Linked DNA regions of Arabidopsis thaliana. The protein of the gene in region 3 interacts with the protein of the main gene of each other region in a pairwise test. Each region holds a gene or a part of one and is shown on either strand. Other genes may lie near its edges.

What was found.
Region 1: the proteins of IQD6 (region 3) and NRT1:2 interact in a protein complementation assay, tested with the Arabidopsis thaliana proteins (one large-scale study listed by BioGRID).
Region 2: the proteins of IQD6 (region 3) and AT5G38030 interact in a protein complementation assay, tested with the Arabidopsis thaliana proteins (one large-scale study listed by BioGRID).

The regions. Positions count from the first base shown.
Region 1 is NC_003070.9:26,298,610-26,302,365, forward strand, and holds the start of NRT1:2 (nitrate transporter 1:2), read right to left. Parts: upstream 2,076-3,756; 5' UTR 1,799-2,075; coding exon 1,796-1,798; intron 1,666-1,795; coding exon 1,560-1,665; intron 1,425-1,559; coding exon 1,207-1,424; intron 1-1,206. UniProt on the Arabidopsis thaliana protein: Low-affinity proton-dependent nitrate transporter. Involved in constitutive nitrate uptake. Not involved in histidine or dipeptides transport. Involved in (+)-abscisic acid (ABA) transport, but not in gibberellin, indole-3-acetic acid or jasmonic acid import.
Region 2 is NC_003076.8:15,173,801-15,177,556, forward strand, and holds the start of AT5G38030 (MATE efflux family protein), read right to left. Parts: upstream 1,767-3,756; 5' UTR 1,503-1,766; coding exon 1,203-1,502; intron 782-1,202; coding exon 240-781; intron 138-239; coding exon 51-137; intron 1-50.
Region 3 is NC_003071.7:11,143,397-11,147,152, forward strand, and holds the start of IQD6 (IQ-domain 6), read right to left. Parts: upstream 1,708-3,756; 5' UTR 1,587-1,707; coding exon 1,521-1,586; intron 1,447-1,520; coding exon 1,219-1,446; intron 1,142-1,218; coding exon 914-1,141; intron 842-913; coding exon 728-841; intron 652-727; coding exon 37-651; 3' UTR 1-36. UniProt on the Arabidopsis thaliana protein: May be involved in cooperative interactions with calmodulins or calmodulin-like proteins. Recruits calmodulin proteins to microtubules, thus being a potential scaffold in cellular signaling and trafficking.

The DNA.
Region 1 (3,756 bases), on a different chromosome or scaffold from region 3:
CGTGATACAAATAATTGAAACCGTTATGAACGATGAAACGTCGTTCGTTATTAAATGAGGTATGGACAAAGCCTAATTTTCGTGTGGTCGCCTCATTGGCCACTGCCTTTTCTTGAAGAAATAACTTCGGTTACACTGACGTAACACCAGGGTTTTAAAAGTTTTGGACTCTAGTATACATTATCCAATCATATATTGATATATGTTGATTCTAGATGAATGTATATGGAATATAAATACTTCATATCATACAAGTAAATGACTCAAATCTATAAAAAGTGACAAGGAGATTATAAGTTAAGTCAGCTATATATATTTTCTTGTAATCTGTTATAAGTTTTCTAATGAAGTTATGATAGTGTATAGGTATACATGAACCATCAATATCTCTATCCATAATGGGAAGTAGAAGAGTGAGCGTTTGCGTTTGCGTCCGGCCAAACGCTACCCACAAAGCATTAAGAGCCCCAACTGTACTTTAGAACTACAAGTTTGTTTTGTCTTTTGTAACATTAAGTTGCAGAGTCACGAGGGTACGAGTGGCAGATGTTATATAAGTGGACATTATAGTTTCATACCCTATCATACGTAAAGACAAGATAACAAAATAAAATAAAAAGCTTGCTGTGTTACTGAAACCCAAGAAAGAGTTTTTAAATTTCCTCTTTTAACCCTGAGACAGTGACAGTTAAAACTGATAAAAATACGTTTGGGTCCCGACCTTAACATACGGATTTTTTATAGATGTTATCACGTATGTGTCGTGTTAGGATCAAAACAAAGCATTGCTTATAGATACGGATACGGTACCGTATCAAAGTCACGCTCCTCTTTGCTTTTGTCCTTTTTATCAGCATCCTAATGCACGCATGGTTCGTTGGATTTTTTTTTGCTACAACCATATTTTCATGTGTGATAATTTTCTTTTATGCTAATAATTGTATAGATATACATGTGGGATCTATTTTAATGTGAACGGATTTATGATTGTGGTGGCTTAGCCATTAAAAACAAAAGTCAACGGTAGTAACTTAAAACTTAAGCGATAGAGAAAAGAAAACTAAAGTAATCTAATGGATAACAAAGTTTCTGAATATTTTTATAAGTGGAGTTTGATTTGTTGTTCCTTGTTAAGTTTAGAAATTTTAAAGATTAACAAAATGTAAAAAAATGAAGTGATTATAAGAATGATTAAGAGAGGTTTACCAAAAACTCGATGGAAGCTGAGATGAGGAAGATTTGAAAAGTGGAGAAGAAAGCGTCGGAGAGGAAACCACCGAGGAGAGCTAGGAGAAAAGCTGTGCCCATGAAATTGGTGACGTCATTTGCCGATTTTGATGGAGACATGTGCATGTATTCTCTTAGGTATAGCACAAGATTACTCGCATTCGCCAAATACGCTAGATTCTCTAATATCTCCACCACTTCATAAGAGACAAATATATATGAATCAATCACAATGATCCATTAGAGAATCGTTCTTAATATAAATGTGTGGATGATAAAGAAAAAGATGCATTAAGAGAATCGAGGGGTAAATTTGGAATTTTGAAACTGACCTAAGACGAAAGAGGCGGCGAGCATGCCACCGTGACGGCCTTTCACGGCTGCTCTGTTTCTCCAATCGGCGTAGCCTTCCCATCTTGAGACCTCTTCTTCCACTTCCTGTAATAATATGGCAAAGAACAAAACAAGACTTTGAGAAAAAGACATATATTTCTATAAAAGGAAACATCATCAAATATTGATTTCTTGAACGATGAAGAAAATAATGTGAGAAGCTTCAAGAACCCACCATTCTCTCTCTTTCTTTCTCTCAAACTTTGAGGTAGAGGAGATATAAAAAAAGGTTTTTATGAAATATAAGAGTGAAAGTGAGAAGGGTATTAGCGGAATTTAAAGAGAGGAGAGGAGAAGGGATTGAGGAAGGGTCCAATTGGGTGAGAAGAAAGAAGAATTTGGGCCCTCTTTATTATTAGAAAATGACTTCATGTTGTAGTTTTCTTTATGCTCTTCTTAGGAAATAACATTGTTTTCTTCTCCTCTAGAGAAAACTAGCTTTATTTCTTTGTTTTTAGGGCACTAAAGATGATATTAATTCCAAGAATTTATAAAGCTAGTAATATAGTGGTGGAATAAAGACTAATCAATCATGTTTGTTTTCCCTTTACTTAATATGCAAGTTGATTTTGAAATGGGGTTTCCAATACCAATTAACATATGAGAATTGATTTTGTTCTATTATTCTCTACAAGGTATAGTGGTAACAAAGTTTAAGGATTGATTGCATATCGATTACTCACATTATATTATTCGTTCACATTTACATGTTAATGAACACTAAATTCTTCTAGATAGTTAAAGAATGACATAGATTGTTTCACGTAAAATAAACTTTTAGTCTACCACATTTATCTGGTCATAATTATTAAATAAAATACACACTATATTTGGGTTTGGTTTGTTTAATGGAGAAGGATGCAAGTAAATCCAAAAAAAAAAAGTTGAGGGCAAGATAAAGGTGATGGAAGGAATCAAGCCCTCCACTTAATGGCTTTAAAATAAATTTAGTGAAACTATCTTTTTGACTAAAACAAAAATGAAGTAGAACATTCACTTAATCTAGACCTACTGATTCCTCCTCTTTCTATTCATGGCAGTTTTCATTGCAAAATATCTCCAATAAAATGATGTTACTAATTACCTCTTTTGACGTCTTAAATTCTTTTGAGATAGAATCATAAATAAACTATGTTTTTGTTTGTCGGGTAATATTGAACTATATATGTTAATGGCTGATATTTGTAAACCATTTTCTATGTACTTTTTATTAGCAATTTAGGTAAAAAAAATGTGATCGTATTTTTGTTTAAAAGATAAAATAAACTGTTGTCTCTATATATGATGGTTTTGCCAGAAGATCTTTCTTTCGGAACTCCATTAATATTGGATACGTGTCGTCTACGCAGAACTTTATTGTTACCACGCACACAAACACACACACACACACAGTGTGAAGAAAAACTTATTTAATTTAATATCGCATATATAAACACACACTCACTGATCAGTGACGAATGCTCGGAGGAGCTATAGTGGTTAAAGTAATTTTTGTATTTGTACTGCCAATATATCTAAAATTCAAATTGAAAGTTCATATATAATAGAAATAATAGACAATAAAACAACAAAGTAACCATTATCATGGCATGGATACAAGAATATGCTGAAATTTAACTAATGCTTTTTTTTTAGGCCAGTGCTATTCTACTATTCTCAGAATTGAATATATTGATTATTCCAGTGCCATATATGAATACGTATTTGTGTGTACGTGTATACATGTTGGAGTATATGATTCAAATTCACAAGGACAAGGCTCTAATCACCCTGAGGTCTTTTTATAACGAAGAATCCAATACTGTTTGGGAGGACTTTAACATTAAAGTGATCTCATGCAACTAAAGAAACAAGTTGCATAGACAAGTGTCGTGTTTTTCTTATCCATGCAATATTTGTTTTGTTTTCTTGATTTATTTCCCTTCCATTAAGGAATTTTATTGTAAACCTGGTTCAGTCTCTATTGCAAACTTTTTCTCTTCAGAATTTATTGTTGTGGTTAACATAAACAACAAACCACATCCTTTAGTTAAAACACTGTTTTTTTTTTGGTGTTAATTTTAGTTAAAAACACAATTGTCAATGAGAAATAAAATATTCCGGTGAATTAGAAAGCATGTACCGAAAAAAAATCCG
Region 2 (3,756 bases), on a different chromosome or scaffold from region 3:
TTATAAACATTATTAATTTGAAAAAAAAAATACTAATAGACTAGAATTACCAGATGGAGAGAGCAGCTACGGAGATCTCAGCATTCTTCAAATATCCAGCAAATAATATGACTGCCATAAGATACCATACCTCCAAACTTCCAAAGTAAAAATAAACAATAATATGATAAAAAGTTAACCAAATTGAACAATGATAATAACATTAACGATAGAGTCGTATGGGTGTGGTTGTGACCAACCAGAGCATAACAGCAGAAGCCAAAGATAATCTGACGAAACTCCACAAATTATGAAAAGCTTCCCATGAGAATCCAGACCAAGCTTCACCGCATGTACCACTAAATATGTACACAAGCTGCGCCACGACAATGAACCACCACGAGGCGTTGAGCACGACGGCTAGACCCGCCGTGCCCCACTGGAGCCCCTCAATGACAAACCACGTGAGGAGCACGTGTAGAACAAGTGCAACCGCTGATATCGCAGCCATCACCATGATTTTGCTTTGTGATTGCAAGAACTTAGCCGTTGGGTAATTAACAGCGTAAGCAAAGATCTGAGGGATCATGTAGATGGAAAATATTCCCGTGGCGCTAGAGATCGCCGGCGTTTGACCGATGAACGCGAGGATTGGAGCGGCGAAGATGTAAAGAAGCGAGAGAATAACCGCGGTCACGTTTAGTATCACCCATGATCGTTGCAAGTAAACGCCAAGCATTGACAATTTCCCTGCTCCAAACGCTTGTCCACATAGCGTTTCTAACGCGCTTCCCATTCCAAGCTAATTAATGGTCACATTCACAATTATTATTACAACTCAAAAAAAAAAAGTTTCTTAGAATATCTTACTTATAAATATGGTTTATATGGTAATAAAAACTATTATAATCTTACTACAAATTGAAAAATCGCACAAGATTTCGTTCTTTTTTTTTGGCGTTTGTGCTTACATTTTTTTTGTTTGTGTTATACATTTACTATCATATTTATTTTTGATCTTTTAAATATCTTTTTTTGCAACATTTTGATTTATATTATTGAAAATGATATTTTAGAACTAGCTCAAAACATTTTGAATGGTTTAAAAAAAAAAAACATTTTGAATGATTTAGAGGTATATCTCCCAAACTAATAGTATTAAATTCAGCACATTTGAATGATAAACGCAAACCAAAAAGGTCAACAAGGGGATATTAATTTACCATGACACCAAATGAGAATCCAGCGATGACCGAGTTTTCAACGGAGACCGCTGCGAGAGCGATGGTGCTGATGTGTCCGGCGAAGACCTGAGTAGCAGCGCCGAGAGAATATTGGGTTATAGACATGAAAATGGCTGGCCCTGCCAAGTACCATAGCTTTTTGACCTCCACGTTGAACTCCTTGACGAAGCCACCAACGGTGGTGATCGGAGGAATATCTTCCACGGATGAGAAAGGAAGAGCAGGTGGTTCTTCCGCCGCAGATAGAAGGGTCTCCGTAAGAATTTTGTCTTCTTCCATATCCACGAGATAGAGACAAAGATGGAAAGATTAAAGCATGTAAAAGACTAAAGACCAAAGAGTGAGCATCTTGGGATTAGTCATACATGAATTATATAGAAAATAATTTCTGTTTAATAAGTTAATTTCCTAATGTTAAGAAATATTGATGTGTTGATAAAATTGATGCAGCGCAAGTAAGGTTTAAAATTGGTGGTTCAGTTTAAAATTTTAATACGAACACGTCATTGGGTTTAATCGTACACGACAAGTATGGACTTTTCATCGTTTTTTTTTTTTGAATGTAGGTTTTACTTTTGGTTTATTCTTTCTTTTATATTCATGAAACAAAAATCTTAAGACTAGGCCCAAACCAAACCTAAACCTTGACTGAACGCTTTTAACATTTTTAGTTAAAACTTAAAACATAAACAACGAATATAGACTGTGAGAGTTTGTCTTCGAGTTTCATGAATGAGAAGAGAAGGCAAGAGAAGACTCTCAAAGAATCAGAAGGTTTGATTCAAAGTTAGAAAACTTCAGGCCCATACGCAAGAAGCCCATCTCGTACAAGTCGTTGAAGAGGAAGCACGCCTGCAGCATTGTTTCCTTTAAAAGGTCTGTGTCGTTTTGTTCTTTGTAGAAGTGTTCGAACAAAACATGAAAAACAGGGGACAAAGAATCAAAGATGCAGAGAGTAGATGAGATGGAATGGCGTGTTTGGTTGAATGTAGTTAATGAGTTGTGTATGTACAAGCTCTAGTAAGAGCCAACTGTATATAAGGACTGATTCTAGTGGATTCCGGGACAATAAGTTTCCCGGCGTGAGTAGGGTTTCACACTGAGACCCGAACACGTAAAACTCTCTCTTGCACTTTACTTTCTCTGCAATTTCTCAGTTTCTACTCTGCTTCAAGTCTTTCTTTCTAAGTTTCTTCACACGAGTGTAATGGAGAGAAAGAGAGGGGTTTATGGTGATAAAGGTCGCTACTTTAACACCCAAAATCTCCACAAAATGGTATCAGAGCTCCAGGTTAAGGAGGAAACCTCTCAAGAACCTAGATTCGAAAGATTCGACGGGAGAGGAGATTACACACTGTGGAAAAGAAAGCTTCTTGCTCAGCTTGAAGTTATGGGTATCTCAGATGCTCTAAAGGAGAAAGAAGAAAAGAAGGAAGCTGTTGAGACAGAAAGGGTGAAGGTCGTGTCTTCAAGCTCAGAAAGAAGAAGAGAAGAACACAAGAAAGACCATTCACGAGAAGAGAAGGAGAACAAGGCCAGATCTGTTATCATACTTAGTGTTGCAGACAATATCCTAAGAAGAATCAGAACAGAGGAGACTGCTGCAGGTATGATAAGTGTTCTAGATAAACTCTACTTGTCTGATCCACTATCAAGTCGTATATCTCTTAAAAGGAAGCTCTTTGAGTTTAAGATGAGTGAAAACAAGGCTGTAGAAGAGAATATAGAAGATTTCTTCAGGATAGTTGAAGATCTAGAAAAGTTAGATGTTTATGTGTCTGATGAAGACAAAGCATTCATGTTGCTTTTGTCTCTCCCTAGAAAGCTTGAACAGCTTAAGTACTCTTTAGATTATTGCGAGGAACCCTTAACTTTGGGTAGAGTAATGACTGCAATATACAAGAAAGAGCTTGAGGTTGCTCAAATAGAAAGACAAACAGAGGAAGAAGAGAAGCGTTTGTCTTTAAGGGAAAGAGAAAGGTCAGATTACAGAGAAGAACAAGCTAAGGGAAAAGAGAAGGTCAGATCTGAGGCAAGAGAAAAGAAAGGTCCATGTTGGAGATGTGGACAAAAGGGACATGTCAAGACAGAGTGCTTCCAAGAGAAAAAGAACAAGTCAAGGAAGAAGTCAGTTAGATATGAAGAATCATCAGCGCAAAGTATTGTTTCTGGTGGGTCTGTGTTCATGGTTTCAGAAGCTGCTGCTCGAGCAAGTAAAGGAAGCTCTGAAGAATGGATTTGTGACACAGGTTGTACTTCTCATATGAGCTCAAGAAAAGAATGGTTTGAGGACTTGGTATTTTCTGAATCTGGAAATGTGTCAATGGCAAATGACACTACTTTACAGGTTAAAGGGATTGGAAGTGTGAGGATCTTGAATGACGATGGAACAACAGTCTTGTTGACTAACGTCATGTATATTCCGGGCATGTCAAAGAATCTCATATCCTTAGGGACACTTGAGAACAAGGGATGCTGGTTTAAATCCAAGAATGGGATTTTAAAGGTCATAAAGGGATGCATAACATTGATG
Region 3 (3,756 bases):
ACAAGCTGTTGAAACTCCAATCTAACAAGGTCACATTTAACCTCTCGGCTTCTCGAATCGAGTAGGAACACCGAGTGGTTTGGAGAAACTAACAAAAGGATCTGAGGAAGGACTAGTCTTCAATTCCCCTGTAAACATTCCAGAGTTCTTCATAAACTGAAACTCATCCATAGATTGCCTGAGACCGCGGTTAGTTCTTCGCTTAGCCTTTGTCGATTCAGTCAAGCTCATGTAACTTGGCTTGTGCTTTTTTGCTTGACTGCTAGAGTTATCTGAAACAAGTCCAGTTTTTCCAGAAACAGGCGTAGTTGAAGTACAAATCGAGGATGAACCTGAGCTCTCGTTAAACTCATAACCAGGACTTGAAGACAGCATATGAGGAGGAGGTTTTGCAGATACTCTAGTGGTCACATTGTTTCTTCTAACTTGAACAACATCCGCAGTTTCCGGTGATTTCAAATGTTTATGAGGCAGAGGAGGAGGCGTGGCAGCGGTATCAACAGTGTCCATAAGTCTAGTCTCCCATGGCCTAGCAGCCATCCAACGCTCCAACCAACTCCATCCCCAACTATTCTTATCAAACTCTTGACTTTTAAGATACGAAATCGAACTATTCGTCTTAAGGTTTGAGCTAGTAGTTGACCTCCATTGCTACACAAAACAAGATTCCCGATTCAGCTTCAGACACGAACTTAAACAAGATGTTGAATGTGGACAAGTTAGTTACCTTTTGAGCAAGAGCATAAGCCAAAGCACGTTCCCTCTTAAAAGCACCTTCTTGTCTCTGCTGCAACTTTGACTTAATATCATCCACAGTACCTTTCCTATCACACCACCCTTCCTGAGAACATAACAAATCTCAAAACAATAAACAATCATCAAACCAATGAGCTAAAAAGGTAAAGACAAGAACCTCGACTTCTTTCAAGAGATCAGATTTGGTTCTATGTTCATCTAAAAGCTTTTGAACAGCTTGTCCTTCAACAGTCATCCTCACACGACGAGCTCTAACACGAGCTTGTACTCTCACCAAAGCTTGCATGCATCTCAATGTAACAGCTGCTTGTTTCCTAACTTGTCTTCCTCTCACTAAAGCTTGTAACCTCACTATCCCTTTCAATGCCCTCAACGCTCTTCTCGCCTAATTAACAACAAATCCTCAAATTAAACTAAGTTCTATTCCTCTCAATTCTAATCAAAACCAATTAGCAAACTCACCAAGAATCCACGAAAAGCGGTTTGGATTCTAATAGCAGCCCATTCTTCTCTAACAGCTTTGAAATCTTTAGGAGGAGCTCTAAGAACAGTAGCAACAGCAGCAGAGTAAACAGTAGAAGAATCAACACCGTCTGAATCAGACCGATGTTTTCCTCGAAAACCCTTCCATGAATCTACTGAAGTAGTCCTCCATAGCTTCCATTTCTTGTTTTTCCCATTACCCTTTTCCTGAAAACAGAGTATCTCTCGATAAAGCTTTAACCTTTGAACGAGAGAACAAAAAAAAAAGATAATGAACTTACGATTTCATCCTTCTCTAGCTTCTTGAGACCGATAATGGACTTGACCCATTTCCCTGAAGCACCCATAGATTAAAAAGTTTCGATCTTTTTGGCTCGAATTCGTAGATTATTTTTTTCTTCAGGTATGTAGAAAGTTTGAGAGTGAGAGATTGATAGAGAGAGAGAGAATATCGGAGAATGTGAAGTTGTGGTGGTAATGGAGGGAGTGGTGGGTTAAAGAGAAGTTTTTGAAATTTGAACAAATCAAAGCAAAGCAACAAACAAAATATTAATAAAAAGTTTGCTCGAGTCTTTAGGCTTTTGTCTCTGATTGTGTTTTCACACTTATTTATTACTTACACAAACAAATGTGTCTGTGTCCTTCTCAGAGTTACAGGCATGAAAAAAGAAACCATGAAAAGGTACAATAAATTAATAAATATATATATATATGTATGTTAGGCTTTTTGTTGTTTTTTACTTTTTACAGTGACTCACTCATGTTCATGTAATACCTTGTTTTGTTTTATTATTCTTATATCATTGGATTCGAAATTTAAACTTCCCAAAATGTTGCAAATCAGATTTACGAAATACATTCTCTTTCGAAAAGCAATGTTTAGCTTTTGGATTTTGTGATTTGGACTGGTTAGACCTATCACTTGTCTAATAACCTCTATAACAGAACTTATTATCTTATATAATTATGACAAGGTTTTCTTTCTAAGACCATACACATTGGTCTTATGACTCAACAGTCAACACCCTATTTAACTCTCCACAAAACAGCGTTATAGCAATTTAAACTTTACAACTCTATTGCAAATTATAATAAATTATGCTCTCATAAAAAAACTAAATTCACGAGTGATTGATACAAAAAAACAACAACTGAAACGACAAAAGAACAACCTAAATTCACGAGTTAAAGAATCGAAAAAAATGCCCATGTATCTCCCAAATTTAGTTTTCAATATATATACTATTTTTTCTCGCTCATATTTAGTTTGAGTGAATCTTGTACATGAATCTATTTGTCTAGCAACTTTAAGATTAATTAGACATAATAAAAAAAAAAGATTAATCAGACAGAGAAAAAAGATGAACTCTGTAAAGATTGGGTCCTTAGCTATACAATGAAAATGAGATATATACAATTAATTCTAATTGATGATAACTTCTTAAAATAATAAAACAAAAATTACATGAAAACATGTACCACCGAAAACATGCACCATCACACTTGGGATTGAGTCCCGCTCGATACAAATGTAGGGATTTGGCTAATGGGCCGGACAATTGTGGCCCAATGTTGAAAAAAAACTACATGAAATACACAATGAAAGGAAAAAAATTCGATCCAAGAGTTGTTTGTCTGGCTAATGGGCCGGCCAATTGTGGCCCAATGTTGAAGAAAAAACTACATTAAACATACAATGAAAGTAAAAAAAATCGAGTCAAGAGTTGTTTCTGATATGATGTACATTAGCGATTAATGTGCTAACTCACAAATCAACCAGAATGGTGGTGGCATAGCTCTTAAAGAGGAAATGAGATAGAAACAATATGTTACAAACTAAAAATAAATCAAAATCATAGAGTATTACAACACACAAATAAATAAATTGGAAACAGACTCTACATGAAACCCATGAAATGAATTAGAAGAGAGAACACAAAAATATTGTATTAAATAAAATCTTTTGCCATTTTTCAATTGAGGATCATAATACATTGACGATGAAATCCAGAGATTGAATTCCTGATACCAAAAAAAAAAAGCAAATCAAAACCAACTATTGTTTTTTAACACAATTTAATCCACCTCATTTTCATCATCATTTGCAATATCCTATTAAATCAATTCAACACTCTCTATTGTAAATAATTTTAGATCATATTAAGCGGATCACTTTCGGCAAACGAATTCTTTAGACATAGGAGTGTAACTTTGGCTTTGGGTCGTTTTTCACATATCTTTGAAGGTAGAGAGAAGAGATAGTCAAAATCCTTTTTTAACTTCTTTAGTTGTTGGAGCTTTCTTTGGAATTTGACTAAACTTATGGTTTCTCTACTGTTGGACTAGGTTGGATTTCTTCATATCCAATATTATTTGTCCGTTGTTGACTTTTCTGATATAATCAACTTTCTTCAATTGAGGTTTTGCAACTTCGCCTTCATTGTCAACTTTTTGCATGGCGGTAAGAAAAAGTCTTCGTATTTTCGTTACCTATTAGCAGTACTGCCTATTAGTAGT